Linked DNA regions of Schizosaccharomyces pombe. Changing the gene in region 3 together with the main gene of any one other region gives a genetic interaction. Each region holds a gene or a part of one and is shown on either strand. Other genes may lie near its edges.

The links. A genetic interaction does not mean that the proteins touch.
Region 1: mutations in ask1 (region 3) and mad2 together harm fitness more than expected from each alone (negative genetic interaction), as found in Schizosaccharomyces pombe (3 studies listed by BioGRID, with this or other methods).
Region 2: mutations in ask1 (region 3) and pfd5 together harm fitness more than expected from each alone (negative genetic interaction), as found in Schizosaccharomyces pombe (3 studies listed by BioGRID, with this or other methods).

What each region holds. Positions count from the first base shown.
Region 1 is NC_003423.3:3,292,452-3,298,076, forward strand, and holds mad2 (mitotic spindle checkpoint protein Mad2), read left to right. Parts: upstream 1-1,823; coding exon 1,824-1,893; intron 1,894-1,934; coding exon 1,935-2,081; intron 2,082-2,127; coding exon 2,128-2,522; 3' UTR 2,523-2,744; downstream 2,745-5,625. Other genes in the region: nrl1 (NRDE-2 family protein), read left to right, coding at 1-421, 460-1,370, 1,415-1,581; sterol transfer protein Ltc1, read left to right, coding at 3,544-5,625. UniProt on the Schizosaccharomyces pombe protein: Feedback control that prevents cells with incompletely assembled spindles from leaving mitosis. It interacts with the anaphase promoting complex/cyclosome (APC/C) thereby inhibiting APC/C-dependent proteolysis, a step required for exit from mitosis.
Region 2 is NC_003423.3:4,025,479-4,032,024, reverse strand, and holds pfd5 (prefoldin subunit 5), read right to left. Parts: upstream 4,620-6,546; 5' UTR 4,608-4,619; coding exon 4,421-4,607; exon of another isoform or gene 4,367-4,420; coding exon 4,257-4,366; exon of another isoform or gene 4,214-4,256; coding exon 4,108-4,213; exon of another isoform or gene 4,043-4,107; coding exon 3,981-4,042; 3' UTR 3,909-3,980; coding exon of another isoform or gene 3,720-3,908; 3' UTR 3,679-3,719; coding exon of another isoform or gene 2,935-3,678; 3' UTR 2,882-2,934; downstream 1-2,881. Other genes in the region: heterotrimeric G protein gamma subunit Git11, read right to left, coding at 1,163-1,325, 1,415-1,470; COP9/signalosome complex subunit Csn1, read left to right, coding at 2,466-2,526, 2,586-2,860, 2,935-3,678, 3,720-3,908; SPOM_SPBC215.01 (GTPase-activating protein), read right to left, coding at 4,949-6,546. UniProt on the Schizosaccharomyces pombe protein: Binds specifically to cytosolic chaperonin (c-CPN) and transfers target proteins to it. Binds to nascent polypeptide chain and promotes folding in an environment in which there are many competing pathways for nonnative proteins.
Region 3 is NC_003423.3:1,558,932-1,567,520, forward strand, and holds ask1 (DASH complex subunit Ask1), read right to left. Parts: upstream 4,721-8,589; 5' UTR 4,634-4,720; coding exon 4,617-4,633; intron 4,562-4,616; coding exon 4,414-4,561; intron 4,336-4,413; coding exon 3,577-4,335; 3' UTR 3,395-3,576; downstream 1-3,394. Other genes in the region: app1 (actin cortical patch protein), read right to left, coding at 374-2,191; protein trafficking protein Pga2, read right to left, coding at 2,706-3,104; protein meu25, read left to right, coding at 4,971-6,839; septation protein Uds1, read left to right, coding at 7,472-8,589. UniProt on the Schizosaccharomyces pombe protein: Component of the DASH complex that connects microtubules with kinetochores and couples microtubule depolymerisation to chromosome movement; it is involved in retrieving kinetochores to the spindle poles before their re-orientation on the spindle in early mitosis and allows microtubule depolymerization to pull chromosomes apart and resist detachment during anaphase.

The DNA.
Region 1 (5,625 bases), 1.7 Mb from region 3:
AAACGATTGCTTTCGCATTCAAGTATAAATTTTTTGCATTTTGCGGAGTACCTCTTTTTCCACCGGGGATTTCAACAAACTCATGGTTTGCTTCTTATGACAAAGGAATTTACAACTTGCTTTTTGGCATGGCTTCCAGTGAATCCTTTATAAATGGACAGATAGCTGAGAAAAACAGCTTTCAATTTCCCTGTAGTATACTACCTTCATACATTGATCTCTTCATTTCTCTTATGTCGTTTAAAAATTTAAATTTCAAGTTATTTGATTACAACCTTGCACATCATGTGAAGGAATCAATGGAGCGTGCTTTTCATCAACTAGTATTTTCGGCGGACGATGAGTATTTAGCGAGCGTTTATTTAATTTATTTAAAGCAAATGGAGACGAAGAACCTAAGTGAGGAGAAACCCCAAGTGAAGTAAGTAGATGTTTTTGTTTCCTTCTAACCAAATTCAGTAAAATTGTAAAGAAGATTCTCAAAAAATACGATAGTTCAGTGTCTGTTTGGAACACTTACGCTCAATTGGAACACTTAAGTGGTGCTTTTACTATGGCTGAAACAATTTTTAAAACAATTTTTCAGATCCATGCTTCCCAATTGCGCTACATTGATAATTTAAATGTATACAAAAACTGGGCTTTTAGAAAGCTACTTATTAATGATACTGAAGGATGCTTAGTTATTATAAAATGCCTGTTGTTTCCTGGTGATAAATCTTTAACTAGCGATAATAATCGAGCATCCGAAATGCTATTTGGTATGTTGGAAAATTGCGCCAGCAAGGAAGAATTGCTGTATGTTTGTCTTATCTATACTATATGGACACACTGTACTGATATGGATTCAATGGATAATTGTGTGTATTTATGCATTCAAAAATTCGAAAGCTATGGATGGGGGGCTTCTTCAGAAATGGAATGCTATTTTTCTTATTGTTCATTGATTTTTTATTATCAAGCTACCACTCTTCAATTCTATAATCTACCCAAGGTTCGACCTTTTTTTGAAAAGGGAGTTACACTTTTCAGTGCAAATACGGCTATATGGGAAGTTTATATATTTTTTGAATCTAAGTTGAGACAAGAGAACAAACCAAAAATTAGGGCTATGAAAATTTTAAAATCTGCTTCAAATGCTGTTGTTACAGCTTGTTGGTACCTTTTTTATGTTGCCGTTCAACAGATTGAGCCAACAAACTCACAGTACTTTTTAAGGACTTTGGATATCACTCTAAATAATGAAAAGTTGAAATCCGTCGCCAAGTTTTGGAGAATATATTTAAAGATTCTCAATTTGCGATTAAATGGTACTGAATGGGTTTCGGCGATTACCACCAAAGCATTGGCTTCCTGCCCCTGTAATAAAGGTAAGTTAATTAAAAACATAGAACATTTCACTGACTAAGTTTAGGGGTTTGTATGGACGTTATAGACTTGCTCTTGAAAAAAGAGATGGAGAGTCGGGCTATTATTTGCTATATAATCATGTTGGAAAAAGGCTTTAGAGTCCATAACGAAATAAGGAGAGATGTTTTAAAGTTTGAAAGAGGAGATGAACTTATTTTGTCCCCAAACTGACATTATTACGATCAATGACTTTTAATGATAGAGATAGTGAAATGAGTTTAAAATGACAGATTAGTTACTTTCAAGTTTGCGTAAATGCTTTAGTAGTCTTATTATTAAAGTTTTCACTTTTGTTTGTTAAATGCTTATATGGTTGCTTTTACGTTGAAAGGGTACCTCTAAGCAACCATCATGGCAGTACCTACTCAATTACTACACAACCTATTGCTTATTACAAAAATCTACAACACAACATGTCTAGCGTTCCCATAAGAACGAATTTTTCACTGAAAGGTTCTTCCAAACTTGTTAGCGAATTTTTTGGTTTGTAAATGTTTCAAATATGCCATGCTAACTTAATGAAGAATATGCGGTGAACTCAATCCTTTTTCAACGAGGAATTTACCCAGCAGAAGACTTCAAAGTTGTTCGGAAATATGGATTAAATATGCTTGTCAGTGTAGATGAAGAGGTCAAGACTTACATTCGAAAAATTGTATCTCAGTTACACAGTGAGTTGTTGTTCTATTATCACTTTTGGAATTAACAAATTTTTAGAATGGATGTTTGCAAAAAAAATTCAAAAACTGATTTTGGTAATTACTAGTAAATGTTCAGGTGAAGATTTAGAGCGGTGGCAGTTTAATGTGGAGATGGTTGACACAGCTGATCAATTTCAGAACATTGGCAACAAAGAAGATGAACTGCGAGTACAAAAAGAAATTCAAGCTCTAATTCGTCAAATCACTGCTACAGTGACCTTTTTGCCTCAACTAGAAGAACAGTGTACGTTTAACGTTTTGGTATACGCTGATAAAGACAGCGAAGTTCCAACAGATTGGGTAGACAGTGACCCTAGGATTTTAAGAGATGCTGAACAAGTTCAATTACGAAGTTTTAGTACGAGTATGCACAAAATTGATTGTCAAGTTGCATATCGAGTGAATCCTTAGTTGTTTTTTTTGGCATGATCCTTACCTATTAGATGAGATAATAGAAAACAAAGCTTTGATGTGTTCTATAAATCTCAAAATTCCGGCCATATTGTTTAACTATAATTCGGTGAATCCTATGTTTGTTTTAATGTCCAATATTTATAATTTTGTGACGCATCTCTATTCTATCCATTTATTTAATAATACTTTTGCATTCTTTAAAATATAATCATCTTCTCTTATTCATTAAACAAAATACACTATAGCAACAGCTCGCAATGATGTTTTCATTGAAACTTTGCGGCAGTAAATCAACATTTTAAACTGATGGTAGCATTTGCGAGGTAAGATTCTATATGCCAAGGTAACGACATTCATCTCTTGAGGTAGGTTTCTGACTACAAAATGAACACAGTAGCAAATAATTTAACAGAATTGAACAATGTGTATATCATTTTAAATATCAAAGTTAGAAATTCTAATTTAGTCAAGACGTGTTCCTCAATTTTTTTAAGACTGTTGAGAAGCTGGAATATTATTGTTAACGGAGTTTTCCGTATTTAATAACATTATCACTAATAAACATTAACTCGCGTTATCTATTAATAACGATTCAGTATGTATGACATCTATTCATCAGTTACTTAGCCTTTACTAGTACTGAGTGTGAATCATCGTTTCCTCAGAGAATACCAAGACTTGGACGGTTCCTCTTTTCTCTTTGCTTCTTGAATTTTGGGGCTATCTAGTTTTTTTTTGAAATTTCTTAAAGATTTATTCTTAAAAGCTTGAGGATTTCTGCCTATAATTGCAAGAAAGAATCAGGTTACCACTAAACTAAAATCCACATTCGGCTAGTGAATCTGGAGAGTTGATTGTGGGGACTTTTGTTTTATCCACTTAAATTACGCTTATAGAAAAGCTACGAGCGTTCCCTAGAAAACCTACGCATATGAGCAGTTATCAGATCGCACTGTTTATTCATCGATTTAATACGTAGCTTCTTTTTGGTTAAGATCTGACAATTACCATACTTTAGATGAAAGAAGAAAACGGTTTTGCTGGTTTCTTGAACACTGCGGTAAATAGGTTAAGCGGCGTTTTGAATGATACTGCTCCAACTAAATCCCAAAGCTTGAAAAATGGAGTCAATAACGAAGGAAATAGAGGTTTTAGCTTATTCCGTAACCCAAGGTTTATGAGTGATGAAAAGCTTTCTTCAGAGGCGAGTAGCCATTCGACTTTAGGTCAACAACAGGCCAGAGATGGTAGGCAGAGTCCATCTAAAGAGGCTCCATTCGGTGAAGGCGAATTGAAACTGGAAAATTTTGAAAACCAGGAGAACGAAGCAGATGAGGCAGAGAATGAAGAGACAAGTTATTCAGAGCAAAACCATACAGAGAATACTGAAGAAATAGCTGAAGAATCCAGACCACTTGAGCGTACTCATTCAGGGTCAAATCACCATGAAGCATCTTCAACTGGTCACCTTAATTTACCTCCATTAGAAAACACCTTGAGTCAAGGCTCTGCTATTACAGCACCTTCTCGGAAAGTCTCTATAACTTCTTCAAATGGTGTTTCTGCCCGTCTTTCTGGTTATGCGTTTGCGAATAGTAAAAGAAACAGAGATTTCCATAGAATTTTTAAAGTACTCCCACCCGAAGATCATTTGATTGATGACTACGGTTGCGCATTACAACGTGATATTTTCTTACACGGAAGGATGTACCTTTCTGAATCGCATATATGTTTTAATTCCAGCATCTTTGGTTGGGTCACCAATATTGTTATACCAGTTACAGAAATTGTTTCAGTTGAGAAAAAATCAACCGCTGTTGTATTTCCTAACGCTATTCAAATTACAACATTGCATGCCCGGTATATTTTTGCTTCATTTATTTCTAGAGACACTACTTATCAGTTAATTATTGCAATTTGGAAAAATACACACCCTTTTTTAACCACGCTAGCCAATGGCCATGGTGTTATGGATGCTTCTGGGAATCATCACAGTGGTTCTTCAAACCAGTCAATAAACGCAGACTCTTCCGCAGGGTCTGAAGGTGTAGATGAAGGAACCAGTACTGAAGCTAATGATGAATCAAGTGAGGATGATGATGAAGATAATAACACTGATGAAGCAAATGAAGATGCACAGTCCAATGTTTCTGATGAATCACCAAAAGGTGAAGGCTCTTCCCATTCAGACAACGTCGTGTTATCTGACGGTAACTCTGTTAAAAAGATGAATGAAGATGGGGCAGACACTTCACTACTATCTGTTTCCGAGGTGACTTCACACCCTCCAACAGAGTGGACAGGATCGCCATTAGCGCATGTATTATGTTCTGATGTTGTTAACCTTTCAGTGTCCACCGTATTTAATTTACTATGCGGCTCTGATACCACATGGATAATTAACTTTTTTAAATCAGAAAAACTTACAGAAATTAAAATTGGAAAATGGGAAAAAATTGATGATAAATGGAATCGTAAGGTACAATACATCAAACCCGTTGCCCCCCCTTACCGACAAACTAGTTGCTACATTACCGACACAATACAACACCTTGACATAAACAATTATATTGAAATTTTATCTACTACCTCAACACCTGATGTTCCCAGTGGTACTTCATTTGTCGTAAAGACCTTATATGCACTTAGCTGGGCTCATTCTTCAAAAACGAAATTAAATATAAGCTATTCAGTGGAATGGAGCAAAAGTTCGTGGCTTAAAGGTCCAATAGAGAAGGGCGCCCAAGAGGGACAAGCATCTTACGTTAAAGATCTTCTGACTGCTTTTGAGAACTATAAGGTCTCTCCTAAGGGAAGGAGGAAGAAAATAACTAAACATACCAAGAAAAAGAATAAGCATGCGTCTGAAACGTCTGTTGCTCCTGAAAAAGTAGACAATTCTTCAATCGAGCAATCATCATCTTTTCTCACAAAATTGTATACCTTTCCCTTTACCATAATTACCTGGCTAATGCATCCTACACACTTACTTCTGGTGGTTATGTTTAGTATGCTTGTATTGCAATGGTGGTACATGCAACAAATATTGCATGCTGAGCTTCCCTCAACATCTTCTCGTTCAGATTCATCCAGGGACTTA
Region 2 (6,546 bases), 2.5 Mb from region 3:
GTATGCGGATCATACAACCTTCTGACAAATTTACAACGCATATGCACACTGACAAAATTCGATGTAAACACCTAAAGCGATTCAACCGCCCGTAAAATGATGACATGGATTTCAAAAACAACAACAAAATTCGAACTTTAGCTTTTACATACTACTCCATGTGCGTTTGTCTATCCTTTGTATAAGATGCTCATGATGCAAAAAAATACGGTCAGGGAGGGACTCGAACCCTCGACCTCACGATTAACAGTCGTGCGCAATAACCAACTATGCTACCCGACCTTCTTGCTTACCTGGTAACACAGGTAATTTTATATATACAACTAATTATATAAGCTCTTTTTATTATTGAAGATTTGAATAGTTTAGTATACAAACAAGTAAATGTCCATACTAAAAATTCCTCCTTTCATATAAAAAAAATAAAATAGAAAACATATAACGCCTATTTGTCGACCCTTAGGAATTAATCACACCTGTTGGTTTGCGATATGAATATGTTTATTGAATTGATGTAAACTAAAATTCAAGCCAAAACTAAAAAAAAAAAAAAAAAAAAAAAAATATATTTAAGGAAAAATTAACCAAATGGGTAGGTAAACAACTATAGTCGGCCATATGAATTTCCTGTAGTTAGTTTACATTCATTTGCTAGTAAGGAAATATAAATCCTATTAGCTTCAAGTGTTATAAGAGATTAGAATTTTTAAATATATAAATAAACCAAAAAAAAATAGAATAGTTAACAATCCCCCGAACATAACCTTTTATCCTGAGCGCTGTTTTGTTTGCTTTGAAGAAAACAAAGAATAACAAATTCAGATAATGAGAAAGTCTCGTCAAAAAATTGTATTTTATATGAATAAATAACGATTGAATCAGTATTAGAAAATTATTAAGTTAGGAGAAAATGGTCCACTGTGTCGGTTATTTGACGAATTGCCATTCCGATAACTAAGGTCCAAAAGAATAATTATGGTAAAATCGAAATAGTACGAAATAAAATAAAGAGTATAAATAACAAATTTACCAATCTGATAAATCACTCATCCTAATGATTGGTATAGGAATAGACAATAAATGCTCCTTTCATGTTAATTACTAGGTGAGCACAGACGGTAGGAAGTGCACGTAAGATGCTTAAACAACGTTCCACAAAACATTAGGAAATAGTACAGCATTTGGTAGTGGCCTTATCCTTCGTCGCTTTACCAGGCTTAAAATGCTGCTGCTGCTTTGTCTTCGAACTGACTGACGGATTTGCTTTAGGCGGAGCAACCGATACCATCATTGGTTCCGGTATATTATTTGCATAATTAGCAAATCTAAAGTTCAGTTAGCAACTTTTCAAACTTTGAGATCAAATCAAGCATTTTTTGTTTCACGTCATGAAATTTGCTGTAAAAACACTTACTCCTGTCTTGCTTGTTGAACCGATATTTTTTCATTCAATAAAGCCTCTGTTTCCATTTGTTTAAGGACCGATCAACTACAATTTCAATAAGTAATGCCTGTTAAGTAAAATTATAGCCTTGCCTGACCATTTCATCATACATATATGTAGGTGTGCTTCTAAGCGCACTAAGTATCGTTATTTGATTATGTTGTTTAACCTTATATTCCCTAATATAAAAAGAGGAAAAAAAATAGAATAGCAGTTTTCCAATTGTAAATTTGACACTACTCAAATGCCTTTCACTTTCAGGATTTTTTTATCTCTTTAGTTTGTTCTTTCCAAGTAGAATACGCATATATTACACTTCTCTTAACAAAATAATTGTTAATGCGAAAACATATAAACAATAAACTTGTGACAGATACAAAGATTTTGTCATTGGGAGGACAAAGTAGATACTTTATGTTGATTGGATTTTTAAAACGAAATTATGAATTCTGCTCGTAAATTTCTTTACTATCGTTGTCTTATTTTCTAAGTAAAGAAGTTACATAACCAAACTTCCTATAACTCGAAGTAGATTAGTAAATTCAACCACCTTAAGTTTCCTTTTTTTTTAAAAGAAAATTTATTATTTTTTATTTAGACTTCAACAATTCTTTGGCTATAGATTTGTTCGTTTATTTTTTAAATCTCAATTAGGAAATGCTTTAATTAGAGTTGAGCATTGTTTCAAGGGAATAGTTAAAAGATATTTGCAACAATTTTCATATTTTTTATTTTTATTATTGAATACATGGGGTTCTAATCTTGGTATCTCATATTAATAGTAAACTCATATCCTAACTTTAGATGCGATTTTGCTTGGAAATTTGGGGAAAGAAATAAAATCAATATGATATGTTTTTCTCGTTTCCGTAAAGTAGAACTAATTAACTACATACATCTTCGACTTGAAAAAATCACCATCTTATTATAGCTTTTATACATCTGGTACTCGTCACTGGCCTATAACCAGTTGGCCAATTCTATAACCTACAGTGTTCCGACTAGTTACGAGTTTTCTATTATGAGCTTAAATCTACTAGTCAATCAGGAAGAATTAAAGAGATATCTGGATGAATATGGTGGTAAGAGTTTTTCAATTGATGCATTTTTGCAAGTCATTCTTTTATTCACAGTTTCATAGTATGGTCCAAAATATTTCGCGCGCTGTTTGTCGCCCGTAATTCTAAGCCGTTAAGAAGTTTTTGTGTTCATTATGCCATTAAAGAATTGAAAGAAAAGACATATAATCTAGAGTTGTACCAGTCTCTATTCGAGGAGTTTCAAGATTGCTTCGAAAACGAGCAGCTGGACGTAGAATGGGTTGAAAGCGTTACTTTTCATAGGAAACAAAATCTAGAACAATTAAGAAGGGAACTAAAAGCCTATAAAAACAACTTAATACGAGAATCTATAAGAGTATGAGCTACAAGATAACTTTTTGCTTCACAGACTTTTTATTACATCCTTTGTTACAATTCTAACAACTTTAGGCGGCACAACTAGATTTAGCTTCTTTTTTTGCTGATGTGGGCCAGTTTGATAGTGCTTTAAGATCATATGCCAAAGTTCGCGAATATTGTACAAATGCTGGACAAATTGCTCATTTATCCTTAGAGTTAATGAGAATTTCTATTTGGATTGGTAATTATTCTCATGTACTAGCCTTCGGGTCTCGCGCCAAGTCTACTGTTAGTGCAGCCATGGAGCTAACTAGTCCTATTTATGCATACTGTGGATTGGCCAACTTTTGCTTGGGTGATTACGAAGAGGCCCTGGCTCATTTTTTAAAAGTTGAAACTGATACCTCTGATGGTATTATTACAAAAACTGACATTTCAGTGTATATCTCACTTTGTGCACTAGCGTGCTGGGATCATAAACGTCTGATTCAAGAGCTTGAAAGAAATGAAGAGTTCAATGCTTTGTCAGATTTAGACCCTTCCCTGAGACGTTGTTTGCAAGCGAAATGTAATCGCAAATATAGTCTTTTGCTTGATACATTACAGCAAAATGCTCAAGACTATTCTTTAGACATGTATCTGGCTCCTCAATTGACAAATTTATTTTCCCTTATTCGGGAGCGTTCACTTCTTGACTATTTAATTCCTTACAGTGCTTTGCCGTTCAGCAAAATTGCAGTTGATTTTCATATTGATGAGAACTTCATTGAGAAAAATTTATTAGAAATAATCGAAGCCAAAAAATTAAATGGCAAGGTGGACTCTCTTCAAAAGGTAAGTATAATAAATCTGCTATATTGGTCTAACTTTATAAGCGTGTTTATATCGAACCTTCTTCAGAGCCTGAAAACTTCGAGGACATAAAAAATATCGCGCAAACTAGTTTGCTTTACAGCAAGGCTCTTTACTTACAAACATTGGCGGCGATGAACACTGAAAATACTGACGACGAAGCTCCAGTTATCGCTCAAACGAACATTACCGCGGAAGATTCACAGAACTAACAAAAAGCATGCACATCATATAATTGGTTAATCCTTTACTTACTTTTTTTGAAATTTCATTAATTATTTAGCTTATGAAGATTTAGTTGCAGCTGTTGTAGCTGTTGCCTTTTGTTGCATAATGTTTTGAACGGCTACAGAGAATTAGCAAATTGTTGATAATAAGATAAAAATTGATCTGTACTGTAAATGCTCATACCTCTAATTTGAACTGATTTTGCGTCAATGGCATTGTTGAGGTTCTCGATACTGCTGGCGAGATATTCACATTTTCTTTTATAATATTCGGTAGCTTCTCCAGCGGACTAATGTCGTTAGGTTTAAAAATCTCTTATATATTAAAAATACCTTTTCAACGTAATAACCAGTCCCAATATCGACCAACAATTTACTGTTTCCTAAATTCAGCTTTCCAGGAACATACAAGCTTGAAGTCAAAGGTACCAAAACCTCCTTTCCTATTGACAATAGTTAGTGAAACATATGCAAAAAAAATTTCAGTTTGTCTATACCATCGTTCTCAGCCCGCACAGCATCGTTAACGTTTGCCAGGCATTCACGAAATTTCAATTGAGCACGTCCTAGTTGTCCATAGGAGGTCGATAGATACTCTAGCTCAGAATCTAACTGTTTTATAACTTCTGATAATTGCTCCAAGCTGAGAGAAGTCAAATCGACCGCTTTATTACCTTCAGCCATTATTACGCTTCTATTAGAACAGTCAAGATACGAAGGAACTGGTAGAAATTCCAACGCTGCACTGCATTAAATTACAGGTACATGGTAATCCATTTCAATATACAATCAGTTAGTTGGTTGAAACAATATTTGTTTTAAACAGTTATTCAGAATTATACCAAACAGTGAAAGTAGAATCGAATATGTTATTGAGCAGAGGGACGCTATAGAATATATCAATATAGATGATAGATTTTTCAATAATTAATAAATTATGAGCATGAAGATTAACAAAATTTGGGAAAATAATACTAGTTAGGATGCATTATAGTGCCATTGATTAGAAGTTTAAGTATAGCTTTTTAAGCATCATTTTTTTTGTATGGATCAAATTGAAGCAAATCTTTATCGTTTTCTACAACATCACCAACATCATCTTCGGTATCTGAAGAATTTGAAGGTGTTTTTTCAGTCGCCGTAGTTTCCGATGTGGTAATTTCAGAAGTAGTATTTTGATTGCTAGTACCATTTGCGGTACTTGGACGAGAAGCGGGTTTATGCCCACGAAATGTTTTACCAATCCTATTGGTATCAATTACCAAAGAATCCAATAAACCTCTCAAACCTCCGGTGGTTGATGATTTTTCTTGGACTGGAGCTAAAACGATAGAGTCGGCGAGTCCTCCAGAAAATAATTGCTCTAATAAACCAATTGATAAAACAACCATTCTAAAAGTGGGAAGACTAACTTTGATATCACTATTAGCACCAACAGAACGGTTTTCAGAACCAGTACTGCTCATATGGTCGCTTATATCAATCAACGTATCAGAATGACCATCAGGACTAGCTTCATCAGCAAAATGAAAGCAGCGTTGTATGAATTCGCTAACTGCGGATAGATACTCATCACCCATAAACCTAGTTAACCAAAGAATAGCTTCTGAAACCTTCAAAACGTCTGGTTTATCCATAAAACCATCTCCATTAAAGTCATAAAGCTCGAATATAAAAGATATATTGCGCATTACATCCCTAAATTTCAATTCTGCAATACCGGACACCAAATCCTGTAAAGATAATGATCCAGTCATGCTTTTGTCAAATCGTAAAAACAAATGACGAAGAAAGGATGATGAATTATTGATAGCCGCTGCATCCAAACCTTTCGCCCATTCAGTAACTCCTGCTAAAAATATACAAAATTCGTCAAATTCCAACCGTGTATCAGTAGAGCTGCCTAATCCAACTCGATGTTTGGACGACAATACTTCATGATAACGGTCGTAAATATTACTTAAATCCGTACGTGTTAATGTACCGTAATTTTGTAAACTCCTAATTTGTGTTCTCTTTGCAAATGACTCAATAGAATTCATAACTCCTTCGTAATGTTTTTTCCTTTCATCTTCAATTAAAGAGTGTGTTATATGGCTAAACTTCTTGAAAGCAGTTACCAATAAAAGTTGAAACTTCGTGATAGAGGCAACGCGTTTATCTGTTGCATCTTTATAAGCCTTATCTCCCAATGATGAAAAATAATTTTTTAAAATTGATATCAACATAGTGTCTTCTGTAGCCTTCATAATTTCAGCTTCGTTGTCATATAGGATAGCCATTCCAATTTGAAACAAAACCCTTGGACCCTCTAGAAAGAAAAAGTCTAACAACCTAAACGCATACGGTAAAGGCATTGTGCAAAGGAAAAGCGACAAAAACCACGGCAAAGAAATGATGCTAAGTTGAATGTCTTTGCTTACAAAATGCGCATGTAAGTTAGGCATTGAGCGTTGAACCAAACTTTCGTAAACTTGTTGATCAATTAGAGTGCCGTACATCGTCTTTGAGTAATAACCCGGAATGTAATCTTCACAAATCTTATGCATCAGAAAAAAGGTTTGTTCCTCGGTGCAATGAATTAAAAGAGCAGCTGCAACAATATTCATTGCCTGACAATAAC
Region 3 (8,589 bases):
TGGTTTCATAACAACGATAAAATCATCATGTAGATAATTCAGTTAAAATTTTTTAAAAGGACAAAATCAAGAATAGTAACTTAACTATTTTTATGTCTATGCTAGATGAAAGACTTTTCTCCATTTTTTCTATCACGTTCAAAATTGTTTTAAGGGAAAACAAAATTAGTCTAATTAAGGAAAAATTCTAACAACCGTGCTAGTTGCATAGCTGAACCAAAAAAAGCTTGTATTTAATATGTATAAAACCATTTCTTTTCTTCTCCAAAAAAACAAGTAAGTAGTCCAAGATAAGGTATTTTGCGGCTCCTGAAATTAAGAAGCAGGTAAATTATATCTGTTATATTAATTAATTAGCAAATGAATGTAGCGATTAAGATGCAAATGCCGATTTCAGTAAATCTTCTGTAAACGAAATAGGCTCTTCTCCATTAAACCAAATTACAATAGGGATGTGTAAAGGAATAACCCCTCTAGCGCGTGCTAATTGCACGAACCAATCCTGTTCCATGATATTAGAACATTTGTGCTTGCAATAATCGCAAAGAATGTGAACGTTTTCCAATTTGGAGGCAGCATGCTCAACTTGAACAACTGGCTTTCTAGTTTTGTTTGCACGATCCTCAACAAAAATTCGATAAGTGTAATAACGATGCAATATGAAAGTAGAAGGAACGGTATCTGGTTCCTTCTCTAACTGGTAAAATTCTGAAGCTTGCTCATTATCTACGTCTTTTAATGTAGTAGTAAACTCCTTAAGAGGGGTGTCCGGCGTACTTGTAGCAAAAGGTTTTGTTTGCACAACTTCTGGAAGAGAATTGGATTTAGTTGTCTGCTTTTTAAGTACACCACAAAAGTCTGACATGACATCGCGAATGAAAATTCCCAAAATCCTTTCGGGAAAACATGCAGCCATTTCAGCATAAATTTGAAGATCTTGCTCACCATTATCACCTATCAAAACGATTTTTCGATCACCCAGAGACCGTATTGCAGTTAACAAGCTGCTACGCTTACGTGCGGCGGCGGGCTCGATAATGTTTTGGAGTACCCCATTAAAGTGTCTAAGATAAATGGAAGATATATAAGGCATGTTATCGTTGGTAAAAAATTTGGACAATGTGGGCCATAGTTGCCAAGGAGAATTACTAACAAAGTGTACAGTAGCGTTGAGATTTGTCATAACACGAAACCAGTCGGAAACGCCCTCGATAGTCTGTGTATTTAAAGGAGCTAAAAGGGTGGTCTCTCCTACTTTCCTAGGCCCTTCAATAACTCTTGTATTTTTCACAGTGTCATCAATGTCTGAAATAATGGAAATACCGTTTCGATCTAACACGGGTACTTCGCTCATATAAGCTTTGATCACTTTATCCTCCGAGGTAGATTGTAGAAGAACAGCTTCCACAGAAAACTTGTTATTTTTAGTGGTGTAAAACGGGATCACTTCATCTATAATAAAATATCCTTCAACATTCGTAGCAACGTTAAATTCAGCAACAACTTTCTGCTCAAAATTCTTATCAGTAGCATATATTTTTACCAAAACAAACTCATCTTTTAAGCCTCGTTGCAGAGACGCTAAAGAGCGCTCCTCAAAGTATTCCTCACATTTGGCCAAACCTATAGTAGAAATGTATTGAGAATTTACCGAAGGAGTCATAATTCGATTAAAAAATCCTGATATTCCATACCCCGATTGATACCAACTCCTTGAGGCAGACAATGAAGGGTTAGGTACATTCACGCCATTTCCCTGTAAGTCGTCGGGAGTCGTATGCAGGGACAAAGGTGGATCATTCTCAGTTTTAGAGGTTGATGATAATTCAATATCATTAGGCTTTCCATCATTCACGTTCACGTTCAATTGAGCTTTCGTGTCTACTACAACCTGCAAATTTGTGTTTTCGTCATCCTTTTCAGGATATGTTCCCGTTTCTTTGGATTTTGGAGGCAGACCGACATATCTACGAAGTAAATTCAACATTAAACGATCTTTACGACCAAGATTATTGAGATCAGGGTTCTCGTAAACCCAACCGCGAACATGAACTGATATGTGCTTGGGTTCACTACCGTACTCTTTACCAGTACTAATGAAACATTGAGGATAAATGGTTATTGAAGTCAAATCATTGATAGTAGGGCTCTCTTCAGAGCCCCTAAACAAACGTCCAAATGATCGAAACATGGACGGTAAGAGCCCACCCCGAAACGTAACATGTCAAGCTCAAAATAAGCAAATTTGAACCCATATGCATGCGTTAATAGCGTTTATCGTAATATTACCGCAAATACTTAAATTTTGTTAGAGCATTTAAGGATTATTTAGAATACGTAATATTTCAACTCAAAATACTGGAATGAGTGGGAAAGAAAAATAAATTGATCTAAACGCTGAAATTAAACCTAACAGGGGATTGATTAAAGCTTGGCTCACGAAAAGATATTATGACTTAAAAATGCAAGAAAAAGGAGAAACAATCAAAGGACTTTCGTTGATCTCGTAGGAAAAGAATGCACTCTCAAATTGCATTATTAATCCTACATTCAATTAATTAGCTTTTGCTTTCATCCATGCAGTCACGGTTTCAAGAGAAAAGGATATCAAATTTTCACAAAGAAATTAAAACAATGATTAACAAACTAAATGACACAAGTTTTCTAAAGTGCTTGGAGTAATGAATATTATCTCACAACTAGAATTAATCCTCAAGGTGCTCTTCGATGTCTTCATCATCATCAGCGTAAGCATCAAGAGGAGATTTGTCTTGATTCTTAAAGTATTCTTCACGTTGTTTGCGAATACGGCGGCGTGCTGAATAACCCCAACGGAATTCGGCATCAGGATTTTCTTCTTCTTCCTCATCATCCGTGTCAAATTCTCCATGTTCTTTGGGCTTCGTGCCATGCGTCATTTCCGGATCTAAAGTACCATCTACTTCGCCTTCTAATAAAGATTTTCTATGTTCTCTCTCCTGTATCTTGGCTCCCAACTTCATCAAATATGGCCGGATTAACATATATCCTCCAACATATACGATAATTCGAATCCAGTCCTTCAATGAATATGATTGTAAATAGCCTGCAACGTCAAACCCCATTTTCCTTGCACAAAAAAGAGTGGTGGATACTAAGTTCACCTGTCTGCTCAACCAGGCAAACTATTATTAACCAAGTCACTAAAATTCTTTAGACTTTTTTAGAATTTTTAAAACCTCGTTATTCGTCTTAACGTATATTCTCAATGATATGCTGTAAAAAGATTTATTAATTAGGCTATAATACTAATTTATTTAAAAATTTTATAGTTATTTGCTTTCTTAGTTTATTTTAAAATTATTTTCATACAAATTTTACTTGGTTTACAGTATTTATACCGTGACTTATGATTCTCTTAAAAGAAGAATTTTCCAAATTAAATAGAACGTACAGTAAATAAAAAATTATATAACATAAATATAAGGTGGGATTTTATGAAGTAGACATATGTGCTTAGAAAATAAATAGAAAAAATGCGAAAGTAAGGTTCACTACTAAAGGCGAAACGAAGGTGATAACTTCAGCAGTGCTTTATCAGAGTTCCCAACTATCTTCTTCTTTGACAAAACTATCATTAGAATCATTCAAGGTTTCTAATTTCCTCTGCAAAGACAGGCTTCGCTCGTTGGCTTGCTGAGAAGAACCCACCCCCATGGTATGCGGGCTGAATTGGATAGTTTTAGGTGGAGACATTCCACTTGGGTTAATGCTATCATAGCTTTCATGCTCAAATTCTGCAAATAAAGAAAGAGCATGCGAAGAGTTTCTATCGTTAAGTGAAGGCATGTCCATTTTCATTGATATGGGAGAAGGCGATACAAAAGGAGAAGAATCAATATCCATTACTTCTTGAGATTGCAAATTCTTAGGCTCACGTGGAGTCACTTGTACTTGCCAATTTGTATCTAAAACGCGATGCAGAAGGGCACTACGACCTGTATGAGGATTATTTTCTGGTTTTCTTAGCGGAGTCTGCATCCTTGCCGGGATGGGGGTCAAAGCTGCATCATCTAACGAAATATCCTCTAAGGAGACATCCATCTTCTTAGGAGTGGACTGTACAAAATCCTCGTTTTTTGTATTATCTCCTTGTACAGCTGCATCGGGAAAATCAGATTTTCCGACAAAAGAATGCCTCTTTTCCAAATGTTCATTCTTTGTGTGCAGCTGTAGGTCCGCCTCTGTAGAATTAGACATAACATCTTGATCGCTTGGATTGGATTCTACTGGAACAGGTTCCTCTACACCCGAAAGTGAAACATTGGCACTTGCTTCAAAAAACTGCTTCCAAAACTGTTTTCTGTTAGCTTAATTCTTAAAATAATACAAATTACAAGCTGAATCATGAGTGGCAGTTGCCATTGAACATACTTTTGAAGAGTCCCATATAGTGTTACAATTTTTTGCGTATTTTTCCACGATAGGCAAGATTTTGGTAGTCACTGTTCGATGACATTTAGAAAAATTTGCATCAATTTCGTAAAGTGCTAGAGTAATCGATTGTTCCAATCGTTCTAATCTAATTCTTTTGTTAGAGAATGTTTATCTACAGTCGCGACAAGTTTACTGCATACTGTTCCAAATTGTTCATAAGAATGACATCTAATACTCATAAAAACTTTGAAAATATTATTTCTTAGTATAGAAACTCTCAATGGTGAAATTTATGGCGAACTGCAACTGAGGTGTAGGTATACTAGCGTCCATTATTAGCGATGTTTCGTAAAGTAAACAAGTTAAATTGGCAATATACAGTGAGATTTTTGTAAGTTCAAGATAATACTAATACAATCATTGTTGAGTAATAAATATGAATTTTAAAGTTTTGTTTACTTTCCTCAGTGGACTAAATGCAGACTGCAATGATCAAATGATCCATAGTAAACAAACATTCAACTTGTCTTTTGCCAGCATCCTCAAGATCCAAAATGAGTAGTATCTTTGGAGAGAATATTGTTTCAGATAGTATAGTAAATATGGAGTTGACGAACCCTGATAATACTACGACTATGCATCCCATCTATGAAACTAACATTGAAAAGGAAGTCCAGCAGGAGTTTTCTGACAATGTCTCTGAAAAAGAAACGATTGACTCAACTAAAAGCAAAATATCTTTAGAAAATATACAGCAAGAAATGGGAGCACTTGCCAAGAAAATTTTTCATAAATTAGGGGTTAAAGCAACCGACTTGGGATTTTCTAATGAGCATGATGACTCGCAGGATTCATTACAGACACTAGCGCCTTCTCCATCATATGTTCCACTTTTGAAGGTTATTGGAAGCTCTGAGGAGGTCAATAGCAACTTGGTATTAACCGACTTGGAAACAAATACTGATGGATATGATCCTAAATTTTTGATTTCTGTTAGGAAGTTTTTGATGGGATCTCCCAACTCTGGCTTTGTCGTTAAACATGAGAAACGTCTTCCAGATGGACCGCGTGTTCTGGCCCTTCGAGCCATTTCATCAGTCGATGAAGAAAATAGAAAAGAGCGCCTATCTCCTGATAGTGATCCTGTTGAAACAGAATCTGTTTATGTTGACAATGGAGAATTGTCAAATCAAAAAGTAGAAACAGTTGAAATTTCCGAAAAAGAACAAAATGATGATCCCGCCGGATATTCTCAATACCTTCTAGAGTTCAAGAAGAGTAAATGTCAAAAGAAAGTGCCGACTTTAGAGAGTATTGAGGAAAATGAAGGAACGGAACCTCATGACAACTTGACCTTTATGACTGATTTGGGAACTCCATACTATTCTCTGGGTAATGAATTTGAAAGAAAGCAAATTTTGGATGAATACGGGTTGCTGGCTAATGATGAAAACCTAGTTATTGGACACACGTTAAGAGCGGAGTATTGCTTTATGTTTGATGAAAGCGATATCCTGCAATTACGCAATTATGAACATACAGAAAAGGAACTTAGTGTCCTTCAATTTAAAGGGGTCTCGTCACGTTGGGATTTTCGTTGCTGTAGAGAAGAACGTTTACTCCGATTGCTACTATGTTTCGACAGTGAACATACTGGGCAATCTTTCATTCAACTGAACGATCCTGAAAATGAAAATGAAAAGGAAGAACAAAATTCCATTAGCATTAGGGAATTATCCTACTTCAGCACAAAACTTATTTCATTGATCTTACCCAAAGAAGCACATAAGCAGCGGTATATCATGCTAAGCTCCTTAGCAAAGACAAGGGAAGCTGATTTCTTTTGGTCTGAAGAGGAAAAAACTAATTATACAAACGAGCTTCTCAGCAACCCATGCAAATTCCTTTGTGAACTAGATCATTTCGATTCATTTCCTCATCAACAACAAGATCTACTCTGGAAGTACTTAGCGGAGTTTTCTGCTAGTTTAGAGTTAGACCCCAACCTTGCCCTTTGGAAGAAGCAAGTTATTTTTTCAAAAATCGGTCATCCGAAGTTGCTGGTTATGCCAATATCTAGTTTCCACTGCGTACAACGTTTCCCTGACCTTGTTTGCGTTCAAACTTCAACTGCTGAAACGTTTTTGTCTGTGGATCGTGAATTAACAACTTATGACCTAAACACTATTAAGTTGTTAAACACAGCACCTAGTCGTACAGCTCAAAACTGGCTTTTTATCATGCATCACCTAGAAATTGTAGGCTATTTATTTCCACATTTGGTTCATCTCGATAAACAGTATAGTTTATTAGATTATGCAAAGTCTGTTGAGCACATTCCAGAATTGGGCACTGTACAACGAAAAGGGTTTTTGAACAAAGTCGCATTTGATGATAACGAGGCTTTACTTTACCAAGTTTAAACGTACTGTCACATAATTTTCTATCACATGTTATCGACCATTCAGTGTTGAGGTTCCTAGGAATCTCTTCTAGGATGGTAGTGTACCTTTTAAGCGAAATTTTGTTTCATCTGCACATTCATTATTTACAAACCTATACGAACTTGACAAAAGTTTTTACGAATATACTAAATATTGACTTATTAATACTTGAAAATATTATCACTTTTTTTGAGGTGGTCTAAGTAAAAATGTGTAGGTCGAATTCGTCACATAGGGTAATAAATGTAAGTGTAGGACCGTTAAAGTATGCTCTAAATAATCTTTTAACATATAAAAAGTAATGTGGATTATTTGCAAACACCATAATGAATGTTGATCAAAATACCGGTTCAACGTCGATAAATAACAAACAGCAGAGCCCACCGATACACAAACCTAAAATTGCAAAGGGACTTTAATAGTCGTATAATCTGGAGAATGAAATGCTTAGCGACCGATCATTGCAACGTGATAATAGGTTGGCTTAGGTGCTTTGTTTATTTACATTTCAATGTTAGTTGTCATGGAAACGAAATTCATACAAAATAAAGCGTATGCGGCTGTAAACAAACAAAAGATTCAACATTTACATTTACCCATTTTACCCAAAAATGGGGTTTCATGGATGTTTAAGTACAGATGAATATGAACCTGAGTTAATTGAGAAATATGGGAATCCTGAACCACCTTCTTCAAGCATATTAATTAATACACGACCAGTCAATCCATTTTTATCCACTTTCGTGTATGTAGGAAAGGCTAGCAGTTCTGAAGATGTGTCTATATCTACAGGTGAGGAGGAAATGCGAACCCTTTTAGTTGCGTCTGCTGTTAAAGATGCAAAAGGTTGGGTGTACCTTTCCGGAAAAGACGTTGAAGAAATAAAACAGAAAATAAAAAACCTGCAGGGATTACTTGGTGTTTCTATAAAAAAACTGGCTGTCGAAGCCAAAATTAGAGAAGCTGCTAAGAATTTGATGGTTGCCCAAGCTAAGGAGAAAAAAGGAAAACATAAACAAAGTACGATAGAGCATTACGAACAATGTTCTCGTAGAGTTAGAGAACTTTCTTCTAAGATATGGCTTATTGAAAGGAAACTTGCAGAATTTTATATGCACCTATTGAAGCATATGGTTGCTGTGTGCATTGCTGAGCTTAAACCAGGTAGCTGTAGCAAGGTATCTTCACCGGTTTCTGCCATCACCGCTGATGAGAGCGCAACTGGATTTCGAGATGAAGAAATAATGAACAATGAGGAAATTGAGCAGCTTGTAGAGCGTATGAGCCGTATACTGGAAATTGCTCAATCAATGGGTAATTCAATTCGTGAACCATCTGTCCTAGATGCAGTACAAATGAACGCTGGTGAACGGCTACTCGAGCAAGTTCGTCACTTAGAGCTTATTTTGAAACAAATATACGAGAAAAAGTTGGAGGAAGATGCTGATGCGAAAGATATTGCTCCTCGCGCTATTGTGAACTTTTGGCGGTTACTTACTGAGCTGTTTCGCGGCGACAATGATACGCCAGAGAAGAGTAATGCACTTCCTGATGATGAACTCGATAAACATTTGAAATCTGATTTTGACATTGAATCATTTTGCTTTCTTCTGCACCATCTATTGTCATTATACCAAACACAAAAGAAAGAGCTTGCTTCAAGCAATGAACTTCTAGCAAGTGTCCGAGATGAAAATACGAAAAAGCTTAAGGAGCTTCAAGATATCAT